Linked DNA regions of Macaca fascicularis. The protein of the gene in region 5 binds, or shares a complex with, the protein of the main gene of each other region. Links are inferred from orthologs where the notes say so. Each region holds a gene or a part of one and is shown on either strand. Other genes may lie near its edges.

What was found.
Region 1: PIGC (region 5) and PIGY share a complex: the UniProt entries of both Homo sapiens proteins name them as parts of the glycosylphosphatidylinositol-N-acetylglucosaminyltransferase (GPI-GnT) complex. The link is inferred for Macaca fascicularis from reciprocal best matches to the Homo sapiens genes PIGC and PIGY.
Region 2: PIGC (region 5) and PIGQ share a complex: the UniProt entries of both Homo sapiens proteins name them as parts of the glycosylphosphatidylinositol-N-acetylglucosaminyltransferase (GPI-GnT) complex. The link is inferred for Macaca fascicularis from reciprocal best matches to the Homo sapiens genes PIGC and PIGQ.
Region 3: PIGC (region 5) and PIGA share a complex: the UniProt entries of both Homo sapiens proteins name them as parts of the glycosylphosphatidylinositol-N-acetylglucosaminyltransferase (GPI-GnT) complex. The link is inferred for Macaca fascicularis from reciprocal best matches to the Homo sapiens genes PIGC and PIGA.
Region 4: PIGC (region 5) and PIGP share a complex: the UniProt entries of both Homo sapiens proteins name them as parts of the glycosylphosphatidylinositol-N-acetylglucosaminyltransferase (GPI-GnT) complex. The link is inferred for Macaca fascicularis from reciprocal best matches to the Homo sapiens genes PIGC and PIGP.
Region 6: PIGC (region 5) and PIGH share a complex: the UniProt entries of both Homo sapiens proteins name them as parts of the glycosylphosphatidylinositol-N-acetylglucosaminyltransferase (GPI-GnT) complex. The link is inferred for Macaca fascicularis from reciprocal best matches to the Homo sapiens genes PIGC and PIGH.

What each region holds. Positions count from the first base shown.
Region 1 is NC_088379.1:94,069,933-94,073,907, forward strand, and holds PIGY (phosphatidylinositol N-acetylglucosaminyltransferase subunit Y), read right to left. Parts: upstream 2,028-3,975; 5' UTR 1,933-2,027; coding exon 1,717-1,932; 3' UTR 1,128-1,716; downstream 1-1,127. Other genes in the region: PYURF (protein preY, mitochondrial), read right to left, coding at 2,028-2,169, 3,641-3,843. UniProt on the Homo sapiens protein: Part of the glycosylphosphatidylinositol-N-acetylglucosaminyltransferase (GPI-GnT) complex that catalyzes the transfer of N-acetylglucosamine from UDP-N-acetylglucosamine to phosphatidylinositol and participates in the first step of GPI biosynthesis.
Region 2 is NC_088394.1:1,324,818-1,329,477, forward strand, and holds part of PIGQ (phosphatidylinositol N-acetylglucosaminyltransferase subunit Q), read left to right. Parts: intron 1-234; exon of another isoform or gene 235-318; intron 319-2,155; 5' UTR 2,156-2,164; coding exon 2,165-2,853; intron 2,854-3,943; coding exon 3,944-4,075; intron 4,076-4,104; exon of another isoform or gene 4,105-4,212; coding exon of another isoform or gene 4,213-4,241; coding exon 4,242-4,362; intron 4,363-4,660. UniProt on the Homo sapiens protein: Part of the glycosylphosphatidylinositol-N-acetylglucosaminyltransferase (GPI-GnT) complex that catalyzes the transfer of N-acetylglucosamine from UDP-N-acetylglucosamine to phosphatidylinositol and participates in the first step of GPI biosynthesis.
Region 3 is NC_088395.1:15,129,467-15,134,126, reverse strand, and holds part of PIGA (phosphatidylinositol N-acetylglucosaminyltransferase subunit A), read left to right. Parts: intron 1-1,003; exon of another isoform or gene 1,004-1,138; coding exon of another isoform or gene 1,139-1,160; intron 1,161-3,046; coding exon 3,047-3,179; intron 3,180-3,949; coding exon 3,950-4,082; intron 4,083-4,231; coding exon 4,232-4,438; intron 4,439-4,660. UniProt on the Homo sapiens protein: Catalytic subunit of the glycosylphosphatidylinositol-N-acetylglucosaminyltransferase (GPI-GnT) complex that catalyzes the transfer of N-acetylglucosamine from UDP-N-acetylglucosamine to phosphatidylinositol and participates in the first step of GPI biosynthesis.
Region 4 is NC_088377.1:9,909,546-9,914,185, forward strand, and holds the end of PIGP (phosphatidylinositol N-acetylglucosaminyltransferase subunit P), read left to right. Parts: coding exon 1-74; intron 75-1,357; coding exon 1,358-1,488; 3' UTR 1,489-3,296; downstream 3,297-4,640. UniProt on the Homo sapiens protein: Part of the glycosylphosphatidylinositol-N-acetylglucosaminyltransferase (GPI-GnT) complex that catalyzes the transfer of N-acetylglucosamine from UDP-N-acetylglucosamine to phosphatidylinositol and participates in the first step of GPI biosynthesis.
Region 5 is NC_088375.1:30,040,510-30,045,609, reverse strand, and holds PIGC (phosphatidylinositol N-acetylglucosaminyltransferase subunit C), read left to right. Parts: upstream 1-1,670; 5' UTR 1,671-1,779; intron 1,780-2,903; 5' UTR 2,904-3,141; coding exon 3,142-4,035; 3' UTR 4,036-4,306; downstream 4,307-5,100. UniProt on the Homo sapiens protein: Part of the glycosylphosphatidylinositol-N-acetylglucosaminyltransferase (GPI-GnT) complex that catalyzes the transfer of N-acetylglucosamine from UDP-N-acetylglucosamine to phosphatidylinositol and participates in the first step of GPI biosynthesis.
Region 6 is NC_088381.1:135,493,431-135,498,090, reverse strand, and holds part of PIGH (phosphatidylinositol N-acetylglucosaminyltransferase subunit H), read left to right. Parts: intron 1-352; coding exon 353-562; intron 563-1,672; coding exon 1,673-1,756; intron 1,757-4,245; coding exon of another isoform or gene 4,246-4,338; exon of another isoform or gene 4,339-4,660. UniProt on the Homo sapiens protein: Part of the glycosylphosphatidylinositol-N-acetylglucosaminyltransferase (GPI-GnT) complex that catalyzes the transfer of N-acetylglucosamine from UDP-N-acetylglucosamine to phosphatidylinositol and participates in the first step of GPI biosynthesis.

The DNA.
Region 1 (3,975 bases), on a different chromosome or scaffold from region 5:
AAAAAAAAAAAAGCAGGGGGATGGTCACCTAGTCCAGTCTTGAATAAAAATTAGAAACTAAGCATTTTGATTCTTGTTCTTGTAAATAGAAAGGACCAAATAATACAAAATAAAGTGGCACATGGCATGGTAGTTAAGACTGAAGCCGGATGGCTAGATGGTTTACATTTCAATCCAATTATTAGCTATGTTACCTTGGGTAAGTCACTTAATCTCTCTGTGCTTGTTTCCTTATCTGTAAAATGGTGCTAATATTACCTACTCCTTAGGGTTATAAGATTGAAGACACAGCACTATGTTTATAATTGTACCTGGTGTATGTTTATACTATAACAACTGATAGCTAAATAAATTATATTAGTGAGAGGATGGTGTTAAATACTAAACTCCCCAAGGGCATGCGTGTCAGTGTTTCCTAAAATGGTCAAACACTCAACTTCCCCAAAAGCTGAAATTGCAATTGACTTCTTGAGATAGAGTACGTACTTTTCAGAATTGTTTCCTTTTCCCTGACTTAAGGTTAAGTGTGAGATTTAGGGTTAACTGAAAAGAACAACTCTTCAAGAAATACCTGGGAACTTGTAGTCTTCCAGGTTATCTGTATGTTGCCATAGGGTAATTTTAACATGTCATTTATACTACAGTATACCCTGAATTAATTCAAAAGAAAACACATCTAACATGTCTTAATTTTTTGATGCAGAAGAATCACTGTTTCAGGTTTCTGTTAACATAAGATTCCAATAAAAATAAAGTTTGTATTCGGTTCTTTGGTTTCTCTGGGTTAACTACTGAAACACACTATACTTCAGAAGTATTATACTATGCTCGATTAGTCTTACTGAAAGTTCTGGAAAATCAGAGGCTATTAATGTGTCGATGCTCATGCCCTTAGTGGTGTTATTCAGCGTCCTGGGAAAATAAACTGAAATGTGGCTCAAAATATGGCTCTAAGCTCAACAGGGCACAATCCACTACTTGCAAGTCTTCCCACCCCCTACTTTCCTAGGAAATGATTCTATTTTAGGTATTAAGTACCTCTCTCAACACAGCTATATTTAGTGCAGTTTTACAACTTCCCTTAGTATCAATAACACTTCTGTGACCAAACAAATAAACAAAACAAATGATTACAAACTGGTTTATTTTTTATGGGAAAGTGTCAACATCTTTATTGCTAATATAAGCATTTAATGTCAAAGAAATGAAGGTAATTTTACAAACTCAATTTTTGTAAGTACATGAAATTTCTATTTCATTATATGGTTTTGTATCACATTCATTCAAATGCATTTCTCTCCCTTACAGGGACTATTCCAACATCACTCCTTTGGAATTATTTCAGTCATCCCTAACATGTGACTTTACCAAAGACCTTGAAGCTAAACAAACAAGCAAAACAAAATTTCAATGACTTTTAGATGAATGGAATAAGAAATAGTCATCACATGTCAATTAGGGATGTTTATCTCCAACAAGACACTGTCAAAATGTTTCTTCTGATACAGCAGTTATAAGTCAGAGCCTTCAAAAAACAAGGGCAGAACAAGAGCACAATAAAAGAAGCACCTGCAACTTAAGCCTCCCACAGTCCTAAGCCTGATATGCGCAAAGCAAAGCCTCTTTCCCACAAACTCAATTCCATCCATTTGAGCTTTCAGAGATAGATGCCCAAGAACTACCATTAATGTATACAGCATATTGACTCTAGTTGCATCAATTATGCCTGAAGAGTTTAATACCCATCCAAGTCCAAAGGTGGAAGAATACATACACTGGTATGGTAATAGGCAAGAGCAGGCTGTAAAAGCAAAGGCTGGCTGTGCTAGTGCAGCCCTGTGGGAAGTTTTCTTCCACAGAGGCTGAGTAGAACAGTCCTGTTAAAGAAACCAGTGGAATAAGAACAGTCAATGTAGGAAGAGACAGAAACATTCTTCTCTTCCACTTATTACCTGCCACTGTGTTTTAAAAGGTATATGGTACTAAGAAAAGTTGGCTGTTGCGTTTTATGTTTTTTTAATTATGAACTAGCGCTGCTCCACTTCTTCCTGCTTCTTACTTTGATGCGTCATCCTAGCTGCCTGTGGTATCATATTAGGAATCCCATCAATGATTGGATAAGCTATTCCCAACTCTTCATTAATCAATTCATTTGTTGATGCTTCATATCTGGGGTGGAAAAAAAAAAGAACAAAATGAGTTGTGGAAAAATAAAATAATTGAAGAGCCTGATTTTCAACAAATACCATCATTTATCCAATTCTTGGTATGGAGTTAATCCCAGAATAGTCTTCTTTCATTAAAAGCAACGATAGCCAATTCAACCTTTTATCTTAGAAAAATTCTCTTAGAATCTATAATTATTCCCATTTTAGTCAGTTTCTCTCATATTCTCTTTTTCACCTTATTCACAAGTTATTCTTTAATTTTTTTTTCATACTAGTCAGAAAAGATCCCCCTCTCTTATCCAAATATTCCTTCATTACTTTGGTCAACCCCCAAATCATCTCTGTTAATTTACTACTGGAATAAACACTAGAGAAAAATCAACTTCTTCGTTTTAGAATAAATGCTAAGCAGAAAAACTTAACTAATCCATTAGAAGGAAATCACTGGAAAAGGTGAGAGGGCAGAAATGAGGAAACTTTGGAAAGCAGTAAGTCTGCCGTGAGCTAGTTATAAACGCAAATCAAATAATTTCAAGGTTTGAGAAAACTGAATATGTTTATTATGGGAAAAAAGAAATATGAAAAATTGCTAGCAATCTACCACTCAAAGATAACCACTGACAACGTTTTGGTGTTTCGTTTATGCGATTTGTAATACTAGCGTTAGTGTTGTCAATATTCCATTTTTGGGAGCTTGGAAACTGTAGAGCTGTCTTCCCAAAAACTAGGTTAAAGAGGCTTCTAAGAAATCTGCTAGGCCACAACTAAGAGCCACCAGGCAGCATACACAGCTGAATTGCTTAAGATTGTCAGGCACCAGTTGTACAAGACACTTTCACAAGAATCTGGAGGGTAAAATACTTTTCATTATCTTGGCTTAAAAACCGGATGGCTTTGGACTTGTCCTGAATCGCAGTAATTCAAGAACCTGGTGGTACGTTAGAAATCATTTAGGGACCATTTAAGAACACAAATAAGCTGGGCGTGGCGGCGGCGCCTGTCTCCCGACTCCTGAGGAGGCTGAGGTGGGAGTTCTAGGCCAGTCTGGGCAACGTAGGGGGGCACCCTGTCTCTTAAAAGGAAAAAAAGAAAATACAAATGTTCAGGTCCCAACCCCCGAGCATTCCAAGTCTGCCCGTCTTGGGGGCTGCAGGGGAATCGGCATTTTTAAAACGGTCCCCGGGTGATTGCAAAGAGCAGCCGGTCGCGAAGCCTAAAACGCTTCGAGCCATTCCGGCAGGCTGGCTATGTGCTCTGGGAGATGTGGGACGCGGCTCCCCTGGCCTCCGGTCTCCCCCGTTCTGCCCGCCGCAGCGGGAGGTGCATGCACCGGCGGGGACAGAGTCCAGAATATGGCAGCGGAGAGTATTCACCGACCTACAAGTCCCCAGTGGCTGAGACAGGCCGCGGTCCACCACTCCCTTTCCGCCCACCGGGAGGCTGCGAAGGAAGGGCCAAGACCAGCGAGTCACCTGAGCGGCTTCTTGGAGAGCGGGCACACCAGGAACTCCAGCAGCGCCGGATCCAAGGCGCGGGGCGGCTCCTCCGTCTTGTTGCTCCGGTCGGCCAAAGGCCGCGAGCCCGACGCGTGCAGACACCTACAGGCGACCGCGGACCGCGCTGCGCTAGTTCCCCGCAGCGCTGAGGCGAGCCTGCCGCGTGCTCCGCTCAGCATGGTCTGGCAGCCGGAGACCAGGCCTCACTGCGCCTCCGCCAGCCGGGGCCGAGCTCCTCGCTCCGCGGTAGTACAAGCCAGCCGACCAGGCCCCGCCCCCTGGTGCTCTGGGAAACGCTGCCGGTGAGTAGG
Region 2 (4,660 bases), on a different chromosome or scaffold from region 5:
TGCTATCGATCGCTTCTCTTTCATCTTCCTCTGGCTGTGTGATCGCAGGAGCCTCTAGTGCAGGCTTCTTTGTGCCGCCGACCGTCCCGGAGGCTGAGGTGGGAGTGTGACGGGCGTTTGCCCCACGGCACGTTGAGTTCTGTCTCACTACCCGACAGATAAGAACAGCTTCTGCCCTCCCATCTCCTTCAGTAGACACAAGGCGCTGCTTTTTTTTTTTTTTTTTTTTTTTAGGTAAACTTTGTAGATGAAGCACAAGGAATACACACAAAGAAAGCCCACAGATCCTGAGCACACAGCTCGGTGAATTTAACCAAAGTGAGCCCACTGCAGAACCAGCTCCCCCGAGAACGTCTGTTTACTGTTAGACCAATTGTGTTTCTTTTCCGACAATCTCTGTGGGTGGTTTTCCTTAGTCCCTGTGAAAGCTCTTCCCCAGCAGGGCGTGATGAGTCCCTGGGCTGAGCTGGGTGGTCCGCCTATGGTGGTCACACAGCCAGATGCACTGGGCCCCTCACAGGCAGAATTGCTCTGGCCCTGTCACGGTGTCCTTGGTGCCCCACCTCAGCTGGCCTCCAGGCGTCCACCCGCCGCCTGCCCTCTCTGGCCACTGAGGAAATGGGCATTTGTGGAGTTCTACGCCCGACCCAGAAGGGCTCTTTCCAGTTAGAACCCATGGCCTTGAGTGGTGGGACCCTCCAGCCCCGGTGCGGGCTGCCTGCATGGGAGGAGAGCAGCTGCACCAGGGACTTCTTAAGCCCCAGGCATTTCTGTGTGAGGCCTCTTCCAGAGCCCCTCCAAGCTTCGGGGGAGGACTTCCAGGTCACACCACCCCGAGGTGTGCGTCCCACTGTGTTCCCTCCTCCCTAAGGGCGTGGCGGGCTCTGGAACCTCCAGGCGTCCCGCTCTGTTCCCTTGTCCCTAAGGGTGTGGTGGGCACTGGGACCTCTAGACCCAGGCTCAGGCCAAGCTATGTCCTTCCCTCGAGTGTGGGCTCCATCCTGGGGGGTATCTGCTCAGGGTGGCTGCTCCACTCTTTGTGCAGGCGAGATGGGGCTTTCTGTGTCTGAGGAAGGCGAGCGGCCCAGCCAGCCGGCCAGCAGTGCTCCCACCGCTAGGGGGTCCTCCTGCCCTGTGGGACCCTGCCGGGGAGGGCAGCAGTGGAGGAGGAGGAAGCCCCAGCTGGCTGTGTGGCTCGGCAGGGACCTGTGAGAAAGGGGGAGGAGAGGCCCAGGGCCTGGGAACTGCAGGGGCTTGGGTGGCTTCCTACTCAGAGGCCACCTTGGAAGGCTGGTGTCCCTCAGCCTGAGAGTGCAGGACGCGGTTCCTCCACCTCTCCAGTACCTGTGAGCCTCTCTCTCCCCGTTTCTAGGCACCCACAAGGTTGGAGAAATACATTCTGGAGAGAAATATGCCCTGGGGTGGCTGTGGGGATGTCCGGGAGAGGCAGGCACTGCCCGGGTCCCACCGTGGGCGGGGGTCAGAGTGGAGGCCGAAGCCCCGTGTGCGCTGAGCCTGCTCCCTGAGCAATGAGGCAGGTCCTTCCTGCCCCCAGGGAGGGGCTTGTGAGAGGCAGGGACCTGGGGGGTCGCCCACCGTGTGCACGAGGGTAGTTTCGGCAACCCAGCAGCACTTCATTTTAAATTTTCATCTTTATTCTTGCTTAATATGTGAATCATGGTTTGTCACGGTTTCAATTGGCGTGACCTTGCTAATGAGATTGTATAGCTCTCCATGTGCTACACCTTTAAGAACATCTCTCTGATCGGGTTTCTTAAAAACAAAAATAAGAAGCCTGGAGTTCGGTTCGGCCCCACACCCCGTCAGGTGGTGCTGAGGAGACTGTGCCCTGGGCCGGCACGTCTGGAAATAGTAGGGCAGGCCTGGTGGCTGCATGTGCGTGGCTGCCTCATGCGGGTTGGGGTGAGGGCCTGGGGTGGAGGTGGGGACAGCGCTCCGGCTGCCCCTTGGAGCAGCATGGCCCATGTGAGGTGGCAGCCAAGGGGCCCTATGGCCTCCACCACCGAACTCGAAGCTGAGGTGCCCCGACCTGTGGCCCTGTGGCTGCACCTGTCAGCCCGTCTGTGCCACATCCCGCAGCCCACGGTGGGGGGCAGCAGCAGCTCTGAGCCGAGCCTCTCATCTTCTCTTCCAGCCTCCCAGCATGGTGCTCAAGGCCTTCTTCCCCACGTGCTGCGTCTCGGTGGACAGCGGCCTGCTGGTGGGAAGGTGGGTTCCGGAGCACAGCAGCGCCGTGGTCCTGGCGGTCCTGCACTTTCCCTTCATCCCCATCCAGGTCAAGCAGCTCCTGGCTCAGGTGCGGCAGGCCAGCCAGGTGGGCGTGGCCGTGCTGGGTACCTGGTGCCACTGCCGGCAGGAGCCCGAGGAGAGCCTGGGCCGCTTCCTGGAGGGCCTGGGTGCCGTCTTCCCCCATGAGCCCTGGCTGCAGCTGTGCCGGGAGAGAGGCGGCACGTTCTGGAGATGCGAGGTCACCCACCGGCAAGCGCCCGCTGCCCCCAGTGCCCCTGGTGAGGACCAGGTCATGCTCATCTTCTATGACCAGCGCCAGGTGCTGCTGTCACAGCTACACCCGCCCACCGTCCTGCCCGACTGCCAGGCTGGAGCCACCCCTGCCAGCACGGGGGGCCTGGCTGTGGTCTTTGACACAGTGGCACGCAGTGAGGTCCTCTTCCGCAGCGACCGCTTCGATGAGAGCCCCGTGCGGCTGAGCCACTGGCAGTCGGAGGGCGTGGAGGCCAGCATCCTCGTGGAGCTGGCCAGGCGAGCCTCGGGACCCGTCTGTCTGCTGCTGGCCAGCCTGCTGTCACTGGTCTCAGCCGTTGGTGCCTGCCGGTAGGTGTCCCGGGATAGGGAGGTGGCAAAGAGGGGCGCTCCGTGAGTGCTGGCCTGTCCCTCTGTCTGTAGTGGGCACAGAGGCCCAGATGGGCTCTTCCTGGGCCCAGGCCCCCTCCCCACTTCCTGCAGCCGGGCTTTGGCCCCATCCTGCCCTCCCAACCCTCGCCTCTCAGAGGGTGTCCCTCACCCCTGGGGTAGAGCCAGGTCTCCGGGCAGCCTCAGGGATTGCCAGGGGCCCTCCCAGTAGGTATAGAGGGTGAACCTCAGTGGCTCAGGTCCCTGAAAGAGAAATCACATGGTGAGCACAGATGAGACTGCTGCCACCGGGGGGCACTCCTGAGGGCGCACGGGCCCGCTGGCCTGAGCCCAGCCCGTGCCCCCAGCAGGCCTCTGGGCACTGCAGTGCTCATGGGCTGTGGGGGTGTCATCCACTTGCTGGCCCCGTGTGCCTGGGGGAGTGGTCTACAGGCCCTGCTGTTCTCCACACTCACAGGTGCTGCTGGCCAGGGGTCAGTCTAAGCCCAAGGGCCCTGGGGGGCATGGGGGTGGCCCTGAGCTGTGACTGAGAACAGAGGGCCCCCTTCCACAGGAGACCTCATGTGCCTGGCGGAGGCACCGCGTGGGGAGCAGCTGGGGGTCACCCTCAGTTGCCCCCTGCCTTAGATCTGGGGGTCCCTACTCTGGAAGCCTGGGGTGCTCTTCCTTGTGAGAAGCCCAGTCAGCCCAGGAGACCCCTGCCCAGGCTTCTGGGCCCCATCGGCGGGGCGAGGCCCTGGGCCCGTGGGAGTTGCTGTTGGCTCGCAGGTGCTACCTTGGCAACAGCTCTGGGAGCATGTGGTGACCACAGGGTCACTGACCCAGGGTCAGCACCTGTGAGGAGGCCAGGCTCTGTGTTAGTCGTGTGCACTGTGAGGTGGGTGCTGTGAGCACTGCCCACCACCACATGGGCCACCGAGGGCCCCTCCTACCTGCCCCTATCCCGCTGAGCTCAGGAGTGTGGCCTGGGTGTTTGTGGTCCCCTGCACAGTGGGAACGGTGGGAGCAGGATCTGGACAGGGGCACGTCACTCCTCTCCGCTCCCACACAGAGTGTTCAGGCTCTGGCCCCTGTCCTTCCTCGGGAGCAAGCTCTCCACGTGTGAACAGCTCCGGCACCGGCTGGAGCACCTCACACTCATCTTCAGTACGCGGAAGGCGGAGAACTCTGCCCAGCTGATGAGGTGTGGGCCTGCCCTGGTCTCCTCTGCAGGGTTGGGTGTGTGCCCTCTGGTCCCTTCCCCATCCCCCTCCGCACCACACTGACCCCTCCAGCCAGGCAGGCCTCCTCCTGCGGCCCCAGGCTGTGCTGGCCACCCTCATGCCGGCTGGGCCGGACCTCCCTTCCAGGAAGGCCAACACAGTGGCCTCCGTGCTGCTGGACGTGGCCCTGGGCCTCACGCTACTGTCCTGGCTCCACGGGAGAAGCCGCATTGGGCATCTGGCCGACGCCCTCGTTCCTGTGGCTGACGTGAGTGGACTGGGGTGGAGCCTGGTGTCCTGGGTGGGCATGGGGACCCTTCCTGGGGCAGCAGAGCCTTCCCGGACCAGAGCCACCCCCACCCCAAAGCCAGCTCTACCTTCTCCATGCTCTGGAGACATGGCCCTCCCCGGGACCAGGAGCAGGAACTCCAGGGGCGCTGGGACCTGGGCAGGGCAGGCCTTGCAGGCACGCCCCCCCTTTCCTTCTGAAGGGGCCGTGTGCAGGAGCCACTGGGCTGAGGCTCTGGGGAGCCCGCCTCGCCCTGTGGGCCCAGCGTCGTGGTGTC
Region 3 (4,660 bases), on a different chromosome or scaffold from region 5:
TTCAGTTTTATACAGCAGTTTAGGACACCCCTCATCTGCCAAGAACTTTTTTCTGTGACTTTCCTTTATTGGATTTTTCAAACTGTTCAGCTTAGTTTTTGTAGAAACTCTTTTTATCAGTTTATGTGATATTGAATTAAATTACTCAACACGATGACAAGTACAACTGACATCAAACAGATGTGTGAACAAACACAACTGTTTCTTGATAAGCACTGAGCTCAGTGGTGTGCCAGTGTGCTAGGGAGTGGCCTAAAATCTAGATGTGGGCCTTGGTCAGTTTACGTTTGGAATGGAGAACCTTGATTGACCCAGCAGTCCATTTAAGTGGAGGTTGGCAAGGAAACTTGGCCTGAACTTCCTTTTCTGGTTTGAAGGCAATGACATGCTTTTATTCTTTAATCAGGGACGTGTGAACCGACTGGCATTCTGTATTCTGAATTCCTCTTGGGACATTAGGGATGTGTTTTTTGTAACTTAGGAAATGTACCTAATTTATTTTTTAACCAAATAGCATATCTTCTTGAGATAGCTAGCTAAGAAAGAGTATGACGCATGTGTGATCAAGGATCAGCAAAATTAACAACCCATACAAAGATTAAACCTGTTACCTTTCCTTCTCTAACGTGATATTTTAACCAGCTGAGCTAACCACCAATGGAGTGATGGTATGGCCTTTCCTGTACTCAATTCAGTAACTAAACAGATATTTATCGAACCCTCTCCAGATGCCAGGCACCCTGCAGAAAGTAACATTCTTAGAAGGAACAGCCATACCTGTAGCCCAAGAATGAGTAGTTCTATTAATGGTCCATTCCTTATTAACAAATTAATTTCCTCAGGAGTTTATTGGACCAGATATCAAAGTCCCACTAGAATGTCTTAAGTGAGAGAGAGGATAAATCAAAGTTTTCCCTATCCAGGCTTTTTGGCTGCCTTCTTCCTGAGCCTCCTCTTCCAGTCTGTTTTGCTCTCAGTCAGGATTTACCAGCACTCTGTGCATGTGTAGGCACGCTCGCCCGCTTCCTTCTGTAGTGGTAATGACAACCTACATTTGTATTCTGCAGTTGATAAAGCCTGTTCGTGGTATAATACCTCATTTGACCCTCCCAACAACTGTAGGGTAGATGTTATCTACATGAAATTGAGTCTCAGAGAGGGTAAGTAACTCACCCAGGTTACACAGTAAGTAACAGAGATGACACACGTGAGTCCAGCTTTTCTTGAGCTAAGGTCTCCTCTTCCTCTACCATGCCCAGCCACTCATATCCTAGGTATAGATCAGAAGGTTCTTAAAAATATTGTTAGACTGAGCTTTAAAAGCAGTTTGAATCAGAGATTTTCATTGTCTGTTTTGTGTTCACATGGCAGTCGAAAGTCTCTAGGTTCCATTGCGTTATACCCTTCTTAGAGGCTCCAGAATAAATTTTTTTATAGTGGTGGGGAAAAGCCTTTATTCTTAGAATAAGAATATAGATCACTGGTAATAGTAATCAGTTCCATTTCTTATGAGATAGTTGTCAGGAGTAAATGACATAATGAATTTAAAGTATATTGCCTGTCACAGCAGGCACTCAGTTCCTGTTAGCTATTATCATTTATGACTATTGCTCTATGTTGTTTTTTATTTGTTTGAAGAATGGGCTCTTAACCTTGTATGAGAAAGAAAAGGGTGAGGAAGAAAATGGATTGAAGGAATTGTAGATGACTAAATGTTAAAAGTCATTAAACTACCTTCTGGTTTATCTAGAAATCTAATTGAGTGATTTGGTAGTAGACATGAAACAAAGATAGCTATGATTTTAATGAGAAGCCTTCATATTCAGAAAAGCTGTGTGGGAATTTTTGATACATATAATAATAGTTTGAAAGTACTAGCAGAGTTTAGTTAATGAATTCTACTTTGTATTATTTAATAAAAATGACCCTATATATATGTGTGTGTATATATATGTCATATATATGTGTATATATATGACATATATATATGTCATTTCTCCTGTCATCTATTTTATAACTGATCTGCCTATTTGGGGTGGAAGATTAATGTAAGAAATACAATTTTTATGTGTGTGTGCATTTTTAAAATTAGTAAACTTAGCTCTAGGTGGATTGTTTTATATTTACTTTTGAATATGTACGATTTGTAATTGTTAGTGAACAGTGAACTAGATTCTCAAATAGTGTTGACATTGTTGTGACTTTGGATAGCCACTCACTTTTTCAGACTAATAGGGCACAATTTACTTTATTGTTTTCTATTACCTGAGATTGTGTTTATATATTATAAGAAAATCATTTTGGAGAAGAAAGGAACCAAGATGCATCCTTTTGTTCTACGGACTGTAGTGATCTAACAGTTCATGCCCTGCCGCCTTCATTTACCCCCATTCCAGGAAAGTGGGCTATAGCTGGTTTGAACTTAAATTTTGCTAATAATGTAGTGTTCACTGCAAAATTCTCTGTACCAGCCACGTTTTAAACAAAGTGGAGGCAGCAGTTAGATTTCGTTGCTTAGCCTTTTCCTATGGCAGTAGGTGGAATCACAGACTGATAGGATCTTATAGCTGAAAGAAACTTTAGGTACATAGGAATCTTTATAGATCATAAAACTTTCCCATGATCAACGGGCTTGCTGGTAAAAAAGCTGGGACAAGACCCAGATCTCCAATCAGCTGCCTGCTCTGGAGAAAATGAACTCAAACCTTAACCACCTTAAATTTACCTTTTTTAGAAGTATGCAATGTGTAAACACAAATGAATAACTTAAAGAATAGTCTGTTGAGATGGAACAGAATAGGCCATATTTTGGGTGTGTGGAAGGTAATGCATGTCAAGGTCTACATCTTCAAGAATTGTAAGTCTTGGGGGACCACTGCCAGTTTGCGAACAACTCCACTTTCCTGGGAAAGGTTTAAGAGAGTTTCTCTCCTTTATGGAGTGCGTAGCTAATACTTTTCAAAATGAGTGGATTTCTCAGTAGTTCTGGTGAATTTTTTTTAAGTTTAAATATTAATATCTCCAACATTCAAATTTATATTTTCAGGGATCGATTTGCTTAGTGGTATAATACCTGAACTCTGTCAGAAATATCCAGATTTAAATTTCATAATTGGAGGAGAGGGACCAAAGAGAATCATTTTGGAAGAAGTTCGGGAAAGATACCAGCTGCATGACAGGTATTGATGAATTTCATGTTGTCTTGAGGGAGAAGTTGTCAATTATCTCTATTTGGTTTTAACTGCATGCCTACCTTAGGTGTGTTGCTTCTCCTACATGTAATTGGTATACATATAATTGATATAAATCTAATGCAAGGACTTTTCAAAATTTTTATATAAAATAGGAAACCTAGTTGAAGAATTCACAATTTTATTTTTTCCATTAGCCCAATTTGACTTTGGGGGGCCATTGTTGGAGGCACCATGAAAGGCACAAAAAACAACTGCTTTAACTGGAAGCGTTTGCAGATTTCCAGGCCATACTGTATAGTGATTTAAGTAATAGGGCTCAAATCATGTAAATTGCTCTGCACATACAGATTTGGACAGGTCTCTTCCTCAATAACCACACAACACAAGGCATGTACATGTAAAGCGTCAATTTTAATAAAAGGGCCATTTTCCTGTTTAGAAATGGCACTTTAACATTTTAATTATCAAAGTTTATTCATATTATTACATACAAACTAGTTTTGGAGAAGATAAAGTTTGGTATGTGTAACAGAAGTTAGAAATAATGTTCGCTGTATGAGTTTTAACCCAACTGCTTTATAAGGCTGTTTCTATTACATCAGTGTTTGGTGATACTAATCTTTTGAGGTGGAGAACATTAGCAGCAATAAGAATTTAAGTGTCATATAAATAGCAGACTTGGTTTATAAATTAAGTTTCTTTTGTAGCATGAGTTTTCACAGCCTTCTTTCTTCCCCTCTCATTTGAAAAATCAGGGTGCGTCTTTTGGGAGCTTTAGAACACAAGGATGTTAGAGATGTCTTAGTTCAAGGACATATTTTTCTTAATACCTCCCTTACTGAAGCATTCTGCATGGCGATCGTGGAAGCAGCCAGTTGTGGTTTACAGGTAAAAAGCTTTGAGGGCATTCATGGTTGGGATTTCTGTATGTTTTGAAAAATAATGAGACACATTTCATAATAATGTTTTAACTGGTTTTGTTGATCTTCCTGAGGGCATGATTATGGTGGAGCATGCGTTCTTTCTTTCTTTTTAAGATTGTAAGTACCAGAGTTGGTGGAATTCCTGAGGTGCTTCCAGAAGACCTTATTATTTTATGTGAGCCTTCAGTAAAATCTTTGTGTGAAGGATTGGAAAAGGCTGTTTTGCAACTGAAGTCAGGGACATTGCTGGCTCCGGAAAACATCCATAACATAGTCAAGACTTTCTACACCTGGAGGAATGTTGCGGAAAGAACTGAAAAGGTATGTCACATGGTGAGAACAGATTGTGTCTGAACTCTTACTTGATGTTTCACATACACATTTGCTTTTTCTTACATAGACGTTTACCATTTCTGTTCTATTGCTTAAGTTGATGAAACCTCTTCCAGATGAAAAGAAACAGATTTTGGTACACTTACCGGGCTAAGTGTCTAGTCAAGTTACTGCGTTTGACATTTGAAAATAGCAGTAATACAGTCTGGC
Region 4 (4,640 bases), on a different chromosome or scaffold from region 5:
AATTGCCTACGTGCTCTTGTTTGGGATTAACATGATGAGTACCTCTCCACTTGACTCCATTCATACAATCACAGGTAACTTTATATAAAAGGAAAGTGCTGGGGCAATGAAAGAGTAGAGTATTAGCACTTTTACCCAGAAAAGCAACAAAGAACAGGCTGCATAACACAGTCGTGGTGCATTCCTGTAACCCCAGCTACTTGGGAGGCTGAGGCAGGAGAATCTCTTGAACCCAGGAGGCAGAGGTTGCAGTGAGCCAAGATCGCGCCACTGTACTCCAGCTTGGGCGACAAGAATGAAACGCCATCCTAAAAGAGAACACACGTATACACACATTGGGACAGTAAAAAGAAGCTACTAACAGAAATAAATACAAACTTATACAAAAGGAAATATTTGCATGAAGGAATTAAGTTCTGATGAATATGCACTAGCTATATTCATGGAGGAAATAAATTATAATGAATTATAACACTGGTTAGCAGGTGTATGTTCCTATAAAATGACAAGTATATACTATATGTGTCTATAATATGTTCCCATTAACTTTGCCTGAGAGAAACTTCTTTTATCCTGAACAGACACTGTTGATCAAGAGATAGCAAATAGTACATGCAGACCTTGTTCAGAAAAAGGACTTTGGGGGTGTGTATCCTCCTCAGGATCGTTGTGTACTCCTTATTCCAATTAGGTGGATAAAAGAGCCACAACACATTCTTCTGGTTTTATTTTTTTTTTAAGTTCTTTCAAGTCTAAAGATGAAAATAAATCAGACTCCTGAGCTTGGTTAAATTCTAGAAAGTAAGGTATTTTTTAAGTTCCCTGGTATGATTTTTCAACTTTTCAAAACCTTTATTAGCCTCTACAATTTATTTCGAAAATCAATTCTATTATTTTTAAATGTCTTTCTAATACACTGCATTCCATGCATTCTTAATTGGAATTGGCAGCAAATAGATAATTTGTGCAAAGAGGGGAAATTGTTAAGTTTGCATGAATATTTATACCAAATGATTTAATAGTTTTGTGGTGTTGATTTAAATACATTTTCAAGGCCTGGATATAATTCTGTTCCCATGAGAAATGTGCAAATGAGACTTTAATCATCATTGTACAGTTGATTAAAATACTAATTTCTTTCCAAGTTAGAGATGAAAAAAATACTTTACCAATTATGTTTTTATTTTAATAGGGACATTTCTTCTAAAGACAGGATTTATCATTTAATTATGTTAAACATGATGTTTGTCACTATCCAGACATCGGCCTAGTAAACTATGTGGTGGGTCTCCATCAGACACAGAGACTGTAGAAGAAATTGCTTGGGTAAACAGAACTTTTTGGTCTTTTCTTACAGATAACTATGCTAAAAATCAACAGCAGAAGAAATACCAAGAGGAGGCCATTCCAGCATTAAGAGATATTTCTATTAGTGAAGTAAACCACATGTTCTTTCTTGCAGCCAAAGAACTTTACACCAAAAACTGAACTGTATGTAACCATACTAACACCAAGCACGTATTTATTTATACATTTTTGCCATTATAATTTTGGCCATAAATTAATTTGACCATCTCTCTTATTAATAGAGAAGTAAAAAATGTCAGTTGACCTTCTCTTAGATTATATTCAATGAATATTGTAAATGTTCTGAAGTATTAATTGTTAATGAACAGGATAAATCCAATATTGCATTACCATATAGCAGAATTTAAAAAAAAATCAGTGTCAGTATAATCAAGAAGTTCCTCCAGAGAGGCATTTATATTGTAATTTGCAAAGGGCAATGGTGTCCTTCCTCCTGTTTATCCTGAGGGGCCCAGAATTCAAATCCTTAGTTTTGGGGGAGGGTACATTTAGTACTTGTGCCATCAGATTTATGTCTAAGACACAAATATTTGTTGAGGACTCATTGTGTACCAGGTATTTTTCTAGGCACTGGTGATGAAGTAATGGTAAGATTCTTTCTCAAAGAGCTTACATTTTTAGAGGCATGGTGAGGTGACTAAGCAAATAAATAAGGAAATGTGATTTGATGAGTGCTATGCAGAGAATTAAGATAATGTATTCTAGAATGCAAAGGGATGACTAGTTCACACTGGGTGGTCAAGGAAGGCCTCTCAGAGAGAGGCTGTTGGGATCTAAGTATAAAGCAGGTGAGGCAAAGACCATAAGGTGGGAAGGAGCTTGGTGTGTCCTAAGAACAGAGAGAAGACTGGCATTGGCCTTAGAGCATACCAAACGAGACAATGTGGTCCCAGGTTAGCCTGGAGAGACCGGGCTCAGATTGTGAAAGGCTTTGTAGGTCAGTGTAGGAAGTGTGGACTTAAATATAAGTGTGATGAGTTTGAGGCACTTTGGGATCAAGCTGTTGGGAGTCTTGAAGGAAAAGAGTGACATAGCCTGATTTCTGTTTTTTAAGTCATTCTAACTGGTGAATGGAGAATAGATTCAGAGGAGGAGCTGGGAAGGGGACAATAACCATATCCTTACCCAGTAAGCATGAGATAGATAACATGAATCTGCTTTTCCTGTTCCCTAGTTTGTCTCAGTTCCTGTTTTATTATGGTGAGAGCATGTCACCACACTTAAGAGCAGTATGAGGGGACTGGACGTAGTGGTTCACACCTGTAATCCGAGCACTTAGGGAGGTTGAGGCAGGTGGATCACTGAGGTCAGGTGTTGGAGACCAGCCTGGCCAACATGGCAAAACCCCAGCTCTACTAAAAATACAAAAATTAGGCGTGTTGGCAGGCGTCTGTAATCCCAGGTACTCAGGAGGCTGAGGCAGGAGAATTGCTTGAGCCTGGGAGGCAGAGGTTGCAGTGACCCGAGATCGTGTCACTGCACTCCAGCCTTGGCAACCGTCTCAAAAAAAAGAAAAGCAGTGTGAGGGAACCAGCCAAATCCAGCAAGTATAGAATGGTAAATAAATCATGGTCTGTTTCTACAGTGGAACACTACACAGCCGTGCAAACAAGAATGCATTACTTCGCTACCTAATAATATGAATTAATATGGCCATAACATTGGGCAAAAAAAAGCCAGACACAAAAGAATAAACTACTGTGTGATTCCCTTTATTTGAAGTGCAAAATCAGCAAAAACTAATCTATGGTGGCAAATATTAGAATAATGGTTACCTTTGGAGAAGAGTATTAACTGGGAGGAGGCATGAAGGAGCCTGCTGGTGAATTGAAAATGCCCTACCTCTTGATCTGGGTGGTGGTTATGGTTACATGGAGGTAATACATGTTTTTTAAAAATCATTAAATTATTAAGATTTCTGCTTCTGATGCAAGTTACACCTCAATAAAAAGGGGGGGAAAAACAGTACCAGTACCAATGCCCACCTCCAGAAAATGTTGATTAATTGGTCTGGAGTAGAGCCCATCGGGGTAATTTTTTAACATCTCCCAGATGCTTCCAATATGCAGCCAGGGTCGAGAATGACTCCCTTACATGATTGGACTCCCTTATATGACTAGACTTAACTGAGTTTTAGTCAAGCAGGGCAGTAGCTGTAAGCTTTGAAAGAGAAAGCCAGCAGTTATCCGAGCAGTTCCCTCCCATCTTTGTGAGACTCCTGCTCATGTCAGCGGTATTCCCTTGTCTTCCCCTAGGACCGGTGATGGACCTGAGACGGGTTTGAAATGGGTCAGAATAGAACCTTCATGGACTCTAGTGTTTTACTGCACATTAAGCCTGAAATTAACTTTTCGTTCTGGTTTCCAACCACTCTGTCCTCACAGGTCATGAAAGGAACACCAATGTTTTGCAAACTATGGGCAGCAGTGTTTTTGAGGGTCATGATCAGTTTAGTGCAGCAATTCTCTACCTTTTTTTAAAATCTTAGGACCCCTTTATTCTTGTAAAGAGTGAGAGCCCCAAAGACCTTTTGTGTATATAGATATATTTTAAAATTAAAATAGAAAATTTTTAAGTAATTGTTTATAAATAATCCATTACCTTTTAGTTATAAAATTAATTCATATCACATAATTAGAAACAAAATTTCTGTTACAGAAACATTTCGCCCAAATCATTGTTGTAATACTAAGCTGATTCTAAAAAGACAAATTTAGCATAAACATATTTGTGAGAAATAATTATATTTTGTAAAACAAAAAACTTCAGTGAGATAAGTAGAATTGTTTTACATTTCTGCAAGTCTCTTTAATGTCTGGCTTCATGGAACACAGCCGGTTCTCATATCTGCGTGTGCATTCAGTCTGTGACATTAGTGCCTGTCACAAAGCCTCTGGAAAGCTCCACTGTATACTCATGAGAGAACAAGGATGAAAAAGACAAAAACATCTCAGCAGTAGTAGGAAAATAGTTTTGACCTCATAGGCCCCCGAAATATGGTCTTGGGACCCCCGGACTTTGGGAACCACTGGTTAGTGGGCCTCCACTAGTGTGTGTGTGATGAACTAGAGTAGAATATGTCAGTGCATTGCACTCGGTAAGGGTAAATATTTTGACTGAACATCTCTTGCAACCACTTCAGACCCTCTCTGTTCACCTCTTACTCCAGCCACTGATGCCCCAAACAGTTCATGCGAATTTAACCAAATCCACGTAGGTACCCCTTATAGTACACTCTGGAAGGAGAGGGGGTTAACACCCATGGGACCAGC
Region 5 (5,100 bases):
CCAGAGTGGGGTTTATCACTACACTTAGGAACCATTTCATCAAAAATGGAGAAGGAACATGGTAACCCAATAATTTCAAGAGACAGCTGAAATGCTCCCTAGACATGTAATTCCTGCAATTTTGAAAAATAGATGTATGTGTCACATAGTAGTCTGTCTGGAAGGAATAGGACTAACAAGATTGTAGGAGGGTACCTCAAAGTTACATACAGAGTTACTATTCTATAAAGATGGGAACTTACTGTTCTAGACTTTTGATGGTAAAAATGTGAAAATTTCAGACTACAGCAGTGGAGAAAAGGTGGGGTGAGAAAGAGGATGGAAGTGTTTTAAGTGACAGTGTCTAGCGACAAAATTATCTTATACTGTTGAGTGGTAGAGGGAAATAATTTGAGATCTCATCTCCTCTAGCCAGATCTATACTCAGTGATCATTTTTGTCTGAGAAACCTGGAATATTTCTATTTTTAAAGCACTTGACTTGAGTTTCTCAATGGATCAAATGCGCCCTCTGATAATTGTATAATTATCATCCCTTAAGAAGAAATCATCTTCTGTGAGATGTTTCGTAAATCTTTTGCCCTCAGTGGCTGAGAGGTTACCTTCTGGGGAGGCTGAGCACTAGTGGCTTGTTTACGAGGCTGGCCTCACTAAGCCAAGGAATCTTGTCAAATTTTGCAACAGAAGCCTAGAGGGAAATAGAGAACATTTTACAGAATGTATCACACTTAAACATTGCTATCATTACGATGGCCGAAGTCAGCTAATAGCAGCCATATAGTGAACACTTTACAAAACATTTTTATATTTTATATTTGACTCTTTGACCATCTTATACAGTAGCCAAGTGCAAATAATGTCATCTCCATTTTACTAATGAAGAAATCCAAGGTCAGGTAGTGTGATTTGCCTTGAGTCACTGAGCTAGTAAATGGGTCATGTTTTCTGACTTTTGTATCCACTGTATCCCGTGTTTTACTACATCCCTTTGTTTATTATTTCCTTTGTTTATACATCCTTTAATATTTCTATGAACTCAGTTTAATTAGCAATCTTCTCCTTTCCTCTTTTAGGAGTTAAAGAGGAAAGAACCAAGCTTTGAATCTATGGACAACTGGATATTGATCTCTGTTCATCTACTTCCCAGGTGCCTGTCCTTGGACAAATTCAACTTATCTGAGCCTTAGATTTGTCCTCTTTGAGGGAGAAGATGATATAATCAGTGTAAAGGTCAATGTACCAAAAAAGAGAGTTTCATGAGAGCAGCAATTTTTGTCTGTTTCATTCACGGCTGTATCATGAGCACCCCCAAGGAGGGCTTGTTACCTGCAGGCATTCAGTCAGTATCTGTGGAATGAACGCATGGATGCATGGGAAGTCCCAGCTGAGGGCCTGACTTAATAAAAGGAGCGCAACAAAAGCTGCCATTATCTCTCACCCACTGGCCCAGCCTCTTTCCTTGTCCTCTCCTGCCTTACCCAGCCCTTCAGATGGCACATCCCATCTTTCAATAGGGGATTGCTGGAGATTTGCCTTCCTAGGCTCAGAGCATTCGGGTTTGGGCCAGTCTGCAGGAGAGGAGTCCGGAGGTCCTCTGAGCAGCCAGGAGGGGGCAGCAGCCACGTCGCGATGGTTCCGGCTGGGGAAGGGTGCTCTCGCTGAGGAGATTGCGGCAGACCCGGAAGTGCTCCGCCACAGTCGCAGCCCCTGCGCCCCGGAGCGGGAAAAAGGCTGGGTGCCGCCGTCCCCCAGCTGCGCATCCCTAGGAACTCTCGGGCAGGTGGGTTCCGTGTAACTGTCAGTGTTTCCGGGGCTCCTTCTCCTCTGCTGTCTCTCGCAGGCTCAAGGCTGAGTGAGGGGTGGCGGCTGGAGTGGGAGGCCCGGAGAGTGAAGGCGCACCCCTGGGGTCACCCTACCCTACCCTACCCTACCCTGTCCCCTCCCAGCCCCACTCTGCGGGCGGGCGCTGCCCTTTTGGGCGTCGCGAACCCTCCAGCCTCGGCGGCGGCCTTAAGATTCCCGGGCTGGGATCCCTGCTGCAGAGAGCGGGGTAACGGTGTCTGGCCTGCCAAGCAACACTTGTCGTGGTCTTCATGGAAAAAATAAAGTCGGGCAATATGAAATTTTTTTTCCTTAAATTTGCCGGATGCCTGTGGTGTTTCTGACTCTTAGTTTTCTCATTGTGAAAAAGGGATGATTACCTTTCTGGATCCTCACAAGAGTTTCCTTGTTTTGAGTAGACTGATAGCTCTTTAAAGGATGCTAAGCTCAGCTAATGGAAGAAGAGTCTAGTTTCTTTGAGTCTTTGATTTTGGCTAAACAAACTGTAGAGCTCATACCTTTCTGTATGGTGCAGCTTACTATTGTCTTTGGATTGGTAATTTAAAAAATATAACATGCCTTTGAGAACCAATAAAAGCTATGGATATTATCCGTATAAATTCACACAAATCCGGATATAAACATGCAATGTGATACACCGAAGGGGTATGTGAACCACTGAGTTAAGAACTGGTTTAGAGGGAGATACAGTGTCAGACACAGGCTTTGGGATAAGACTTTGGTTTGAATCCTGGCTCTGCTCTGTTACTTTAGGGCAAAGTTACTTAAGCATCTTGAATCTCAGCTTTTTTACCAAAGCAGGACTAATACTAACTTGCAAGGTTGTGAGGATTAAGTGAAAGAAGATACATAAGGCATTTAGCACATAGTAGGCACTCAATAAATGATAGCTAACAGATGTCTTTTATTATTCAAGGAATTATAATTTTCAAGTCTGAAATGCAGTTTTAATGTCCCAAATTAATAAGGTGACTACCACATACATTTTGCTCAGACTTTTAGTAAACTGAGTTGATTTGACTTTAACTCAGTACTACTCTTGACCTTTCACAACTTTTGTAGGTTCACAGTCTCTCTTTTTCTAGGAACTTGGCTGTGTTGTCCTGCCTCAGAGACAAATTCATCTGTTGTAGGCCTAGCCTGGGTTGCTGCCTTTGAAAACAAGGAAAGGTTGATAGAACATCAACCACAGCATGGAATTTCCAGGGAGGTCTCATTTCAAAACTTCATAAAGAACAAGAACCACCTGGACTTCTGTGAGGGCGATGATTAAACTGGCCTGAGTTTGAATGAAAGGATAATGTGTGCCCAACCTGTAACTAGCACCAAGGAGGTCAAGTGGCAGAAGGTCTTGTATGAGCGACAGCCCTTTCCTGATAACTATGTGGACCGGCGATTCCTGGAAGAGCTCCGGAAAAACATCCATGCTCGGAAATACCAATATTGGGCTGTGGTATTTGAGTCCAGTGTAGTGATCCAGCAGCTGTGCAGTGTTTGTGTTTTTGTGGTTATCTGGTGGTATATGGATGAGGGTCTTCTGGCCCCCCATTGGCTTTTTGGGACTGGCCTGGCTTCTTCACTGATTGGGTATGTTTTGTTTGATCTCATTGATGGAGGTGAAGGGCGGAAGAAGAGTGGGCAGACCCGATGGGCTGACCTGAAGAGTGCCCTAGTCTTCATTACTTTCACTTATGGGTTTTCACCAGTGCTGAAAACCCTTACAGAGTCTGTCAGCACTGACACCATCTATGCCATGTCAGTCTTCATGCTGTTAGGCCACCTCATCTTTTTTGACTATGGTGCCAATGCTGCCATTGTGTCCAGCACGCTATCCTTGAACATGGCCATCTTTGCTTCTGTATGCTTGGCTTCACGTCTTCCCCGGTCCCTGCATGCCTTCATCATGGTGACGTTTGCCATTCAGATTTTTGCCCTATGGCCCATGTTACAGAAGAAACTAAAGGCATGTACTCCCCGGAGCTATGTGGGGGTCACACTGCTCTTTGCATTTTCAGCCTTAGGAGGCCTACTGTCCATCAGTGCTGTGGGAGCCATACTCTTTGCCCTTCTGCTGATGTCTATCTCATGTCTCTGTCCATTCTACCTCATTCGCTTGCAGCTTTTTAAAGAAAACATTCATGGGCCTTGGGATGAAGCTGAAATCAAGGAAGACTTGTCCAGGTTCCTCAGTTAAATTAGGACATCCATTACGTTATTAAGGCAAGCTGATAGACTAGCCTCCTAACTAGTATAGAACTTAAAGACAGAGTTCCATTCTGGAAGCAGCATGTCATTGTGGTAAGAGAACAGAGATCAAAACAAAAAAGATGAACCAAAGGCTTGGGTGGTGCGGGTTCTTATCCTTTCCGTTATTTTGTGGATGAAAATACTTTCTGGGACCCTCTTGAATTACATGCTGTAACATATGAAGTGATGTGGTTTCTATTAAAAAAATAACACATTCATCAAGTTGTCTCATGATTTTTACATAAACAGTAGGCAGAGGGGCATGAAGAGTGAAGAGTGTGTGCGTGTGTGTGTGTGTGTGTGTAAAGTCACTTCTCTCTACCCTTTTCAATGTGCTAATGCTGTTTTATTTATCTAGGGCTCAAATCCTAGAACACAAGGTGCTGTGTTCAGTTTTGTTGCCCAATATCACAGAATTGGTTACCTAACCTTGACTCAGTTTCTACCTTGTTGTTACGGAAGCATATACACAACTAATTACAAAGCAGAGTGTGATGTGTCATAATAAGCAGAATGCTAGGGGGAATTCAGAAGCTGGAGATAAATTTCAGCTGGAATAATTAGGAAATACTTATGAGAGGCAGTGACATTTGAGCTTAGTCTTGGAGGATAGGGAGACTTAAGTAGGCAAAAGATGGTTTTAGGGCAATGTGTTGAAGGCCTTTAGAGGCCAGGTCAGTAACGGAAGCAAGTGAAACTGGCATGCTTTGTGTGACTGATGGCAACTGTGAACAAATGGAGATGTCCAATGGAGACACCTGCTACAGTGCTCCAACTGATAGTTTCTATTCACAGTTTGTGCATAGACCCTTAGAATTCCAGATAGGATTCTAAAAGAAGTCCCAGTAACTGTATATCTGATTTTTAATATGAAATCTGACTTGTAAATTCTGTCTCAAGTTTAAATTAATCAGGCTAAAAACACGTTTGCAGCAACATAAGATTACTACTGTACCACATCTGTCCTTAGCATGGGCACGATGATGGGACAATATTTGATGGCACTTCAGGG
Region 6 (4,660 bases), on a different chromosome or scaffold from region 5:
AAGTGATCCTCCTGCCTCAGTCTCCCTAGTAGCTGGAATTACAGGTGCAAGCTACTGCATTCAGTTGATTTGGGCCCTTAATTTGGAATTTTGGAAAAATAGTTTCTGAGATTGCTGTGATGATGGTGGACATTTTGCTGATGGAGGTTTTCCCCAGACCTATCCATTTGTTGTCTGGATCTGTTTCACTGTATACTTTTATAGCACCTCAGAACCCAAATAAAAGCAATTTCCTTTTCCTCCATGCATGTTCCCCTCATCTGACAAGAGAAGAAAGGCTTTTTTCCTCTTTGCCTGGAGTTGACTGGTACCACTTGGTAATCTTACTGCCTGTGTCTGGCTCTCTCTTCAGAACAGCATGATCCTCTCTGCTGCCATCTTCATCACCCTCTTAGGTCTGCTTGGTTATCTCCATTTTGTGAAGATTGATCAGGAGACTCTGTTAATCATTGATTCCCTTGGCATTCAGATGACTTCATCTTATGCTTCAGGCAAAGAAAGCACTACCTTCATAGAAATGGGCAAGGTCAAGGATATTGTCATCAATGAGGCTATCTACATGGTAAGTATTTGAAAGGCAGTATTACAGTCCTCTCTGGAGGAGGTAGCCAGCCCATGGGGTGTTCCCAGATCTATACTGAGCCTTAATACCTAAAGTACTTGATGTCACAGAATTAAACATGAAGATCCTCTGCTCTAGTACTTACAGTACTAGAGTTTTCTTTTTGGCTGGCATGTCTATAAACCATAAAAGTGAGACTTATATGTAAAAGGTAAATCTCCTTATTTTTAAAGAGATGCAGCAGGTTTTCATGGATAGAGAATTAGTATTTCAACTTTATCTTCAAGACCAACTCCAAAATTATCACTGGCATTTTTTCCTTCTCTTTCTTTCTTTTTTCTTTTTTTGTGAGACCCTGTCTGTTACCCAGGCTGGAGTGTAGTGGCTTAATCACAGCTCACTGCAGCCCCAACTTCCCAGGCTCAAGCCATCCTCCCACCTCAGCCTCCTGAGTAGCTGGGACTACAGGCATGCACCACCATGCTTAGCTCGTTTTTTCTATTTTTTGTAGAGATGGAGTCTCACTATGTTGCCTAAGCTGGTCTTGAATTCCTGGGCTCAAGCCCTCCTCCTGCTGTGGCCTCCCCAAGTGTTCAGTTTACAGGTTTGAGCCACTATGCCTGGCCCTGTCTTTTTTCATTTAAGGAACAAGAATATACTTTTCTCCCACTTCAAAAGCTATCAAGTGTTCTACTACTTAACCATTTGTGAAAAAGCGTTGAGCCTTACCTTAGAAAAAAAGAATGTGGCCAGGCGCAGTGGCTCACGCCTGTAATCCCAGCACTTTGGGAGGCCAAGGCGGGTGGATCACCTGAGGTCGGGAGTTCCAGACCAGCCTGGCCAACATGGTGAAACCCCATCTCTACTGAAAATACAAAAAATTAGCCAGGCATGGTGGCAAGCACCTGTAATCCCAGCTACTTGGGAGGCTGAGGCAGGAGAATTGCTTGAACCCGGGAGGTGGAGGTTGCAGTGAGCCAAGATTGCACCACTGTACTCCAGCTTGGGCAACAGAGTGAGACTCTGTCTCAAAAAAAGAAAAAGAAAAAGAAAAAAGGAATGCAAAATGAGTTTCACTTAGACTTTGCTATTTGATTTATTTTCTTACAGCAGAAGGTGATTTACTACCTCTGCATCTTATTGAAGGATCCAGTGGAACCACATAGGATATCCCAAGTAGTACCTGTCTTCCAGGTGAGCATAGAACACTTTTACCGTTGTCCAATTAATCCTCAACCTTTTCTGTAGGAATGTAAATTCCTTTTTTCAGAGTATTGGAAGACACCTGACAGCTGTTTTGAGTGATAATTAGGATTTCAGTTATTTGAGAAGTTCCTCTCTGAGGCAAATATAGTCCTTAAAAATATTATTCCTGCATATTTTATTATTTTATTTTATTTTATGAGACAGAGTCTCACTTTGTCACCTAGGCTGGCTTGCAGTGGTGTGATCGTCACTCATTGCAGCCCCCACCTCCTAGGCTCAAGAAATCCTCCTGCCTCAGTCTCCTGAGTACTTGGGACTACAGGTGTGCACCACCACACCTGGCTAACTTTTTTTTTTCTTTTTAGTAGAGATGAGGTCTTGCCATATTGCCTAGGCTGATCTTGAACTCCTGAGTTCAAGCAATTCTCCTGCCTCAGCCTCCCAAAGTGTAGGGATTACAAGCATGAGCCAGCACACCTGGCCTCATGCACATTTTAAAGAGCACAATCAAATATATAGCAACCTCTGCCTACAAATCACTATTCATCTACTTTGACTCTGTCAGTCTACTAATGTACAGTTTTTTAGATAGAGGTCATTGATCTCACATTGTATGCTATTGTGTGTCTTGCTTTGTAAATAATATGTATGTGTCCTACAAAGGCCATTATATTTATTATTTTAAATAACTATATTGTATAATATATTGAAATGTCAGTTTATTTAGCCACTCTTGCCACCTTTTAAAATCCTGCCTGGAGTTTTTTGTTTTGCTCTTACAAAAAAAAAAACCACTTATCAGCTGGTGCAGTGGCTCACGCCTGTAATCCCAACACTTTGGGAGGCTGAGGCAGCAGATCGCTTGAGCTCAGGAGTTCGAGACCAGCCTGGGCAACATGGTAAAACCCCCATCTCTACAAAAAATACCAAAATTAGCTGAGCGTGGTGGCACACATCTGTGGTCCCAGCTACTCAGGAAGCTGAGGTGGGAGGATTGCTTGAGCCGAGGAGGTCAAGGCTGCAGTGAGCTGTGATCATGCCACTGTACTCAGCCTGGGTGACAGAGATCCATCTCAAAAAACAAAACAAAAATTATACAAACATAATAAATTATACAAACATAATAAATTACGAAGTAAATTATTTTAGAGGTAGGTATTTATGCACGTATTTATGTATATAGTTAACCCTGCCTCACTGACCTTTTTCACAAAGGATTTAAGATAGCTAAGTTAAAATATTATTTTGCATTATAATTAAAAATTATTTTATTAAAGCTTATGAATAGTTTTATAGACTTCTAGTGTTTAAGATGGGGCTCCAGAGATTGGACAACATTACCATACTTTGGGGCTTTTGTACTTCTTTTTCTACCATCCTGGCTAATAGTGGATTTAGCTTTTTTAGCTTAATATGTAGGTAAAGGCATTTTAAATAGGTAAATTTGTATCTCTTTAAATGATAGGCTTTTCATATTTCCTTGTATTACCTATCAGTATTTCCTCTTATTTTAAACTACCTATCTTCTCTATTAGTCAAGAAGAATCTGAATATTATGTATTTGTACCTGTTTTTATATATTTTTAACAATCTTTATATATTTTAGGTAGTATACTTTTATTAAATATACTTTCACATATATTTTTCCCATTCTGTGGTTTTTCTTTTAATTTTGGTTATTACATTTCATTGTACAAAACATTTTTCAATATTTACATATTAAACTGCCCTTCTTGTCTTTGAGGGCTATTTTATAACGTGTGACATTTCTTGAGGGTCCATTTTGTTTTTCCTCTTTGCTTACTCTTAGAGATGGAGTTCATGAAACTTAGACAGATGAAAAAGCTATCATTTGATCTCCCACTTCACACAATTCACAAGGTGGGCTGTGAGCCTAGCTGGGACTCTTCCCAGCAAGGTGTGCTGAGGCCTAAACTTAACTCCCTGAGCTCACTGCTGTGCCATTTATACCCCTTGATGTGGGTGAGAGATTGAAGTTGCATGTGGGCCCAGTACCATGGCTCAAGCCTATAATCCCAGCACTTTGGGAGGCCAAGGTGGGCGGATCACTTAAGGCCAGGAGTTTAAGAGCAGCCTGGCCAACATGGTGAAACCCTGTCTCTACTAAAAATACAAAAATTAGCTGGGCATGGTGGTTCGTGCCTGTAGTCCCAGCTACTCGGGAGGCTGAGACACAAGAATCATTTGAACCCAGGATGCAGAGGTTGCAGTGAGCCGAGATTGTGCCACTGGGTGTGGTGGCGAGCACCTGTAATCCCAGCTACTCGGGAGGCTGAAGCAGGAGAACTGCTTGAACCTGGGAGGCAGAAGTTGCAGTGAGCCGAGATTGTACCACTGCACTCCAGCCTGGGCAACAGAGCAAAACTCTGTCTCAAAAAAAAGTTGCAAGTTGATGCATCTCCACTGTACTCCCTTATGTTCACTTTGACTCTGCATTTCTCCCCTTTGGAATTCAGAGTGCTAAGCCCCGGCTGGACTGCTTGATTGAAGTATACAGGAGCTGCCAGGAGATCCTGGCACACCAGAAAGCCACATCAACAAGCCCATGAGCCCCAGCGTTCAGAAGGCCAGCATTGTCTTCCATGGGAGATGACTCTTAAACCATAGGGGCTGGTTTTCTGTACTCTAAACCATCAGGTGGACACAGTCCTAGGAACCATTATTGGTGTAGTACATCTCAGAGCCATAGAGCAGGTGACTGAAAATCTAACTCAGTGTATTTCCGTGTACTGTAGTGTTTTCCTTGTAAGGTTTTGCCTACTTTACCAAAGGAGGGGAGACCTTAAGAATTTTGACACAGTATGTCAAAAGTAATGTCAGCAAGGAACACTTTGTGAAATTGCTAACCATGTTCAGGTTTACTTTGTTGAT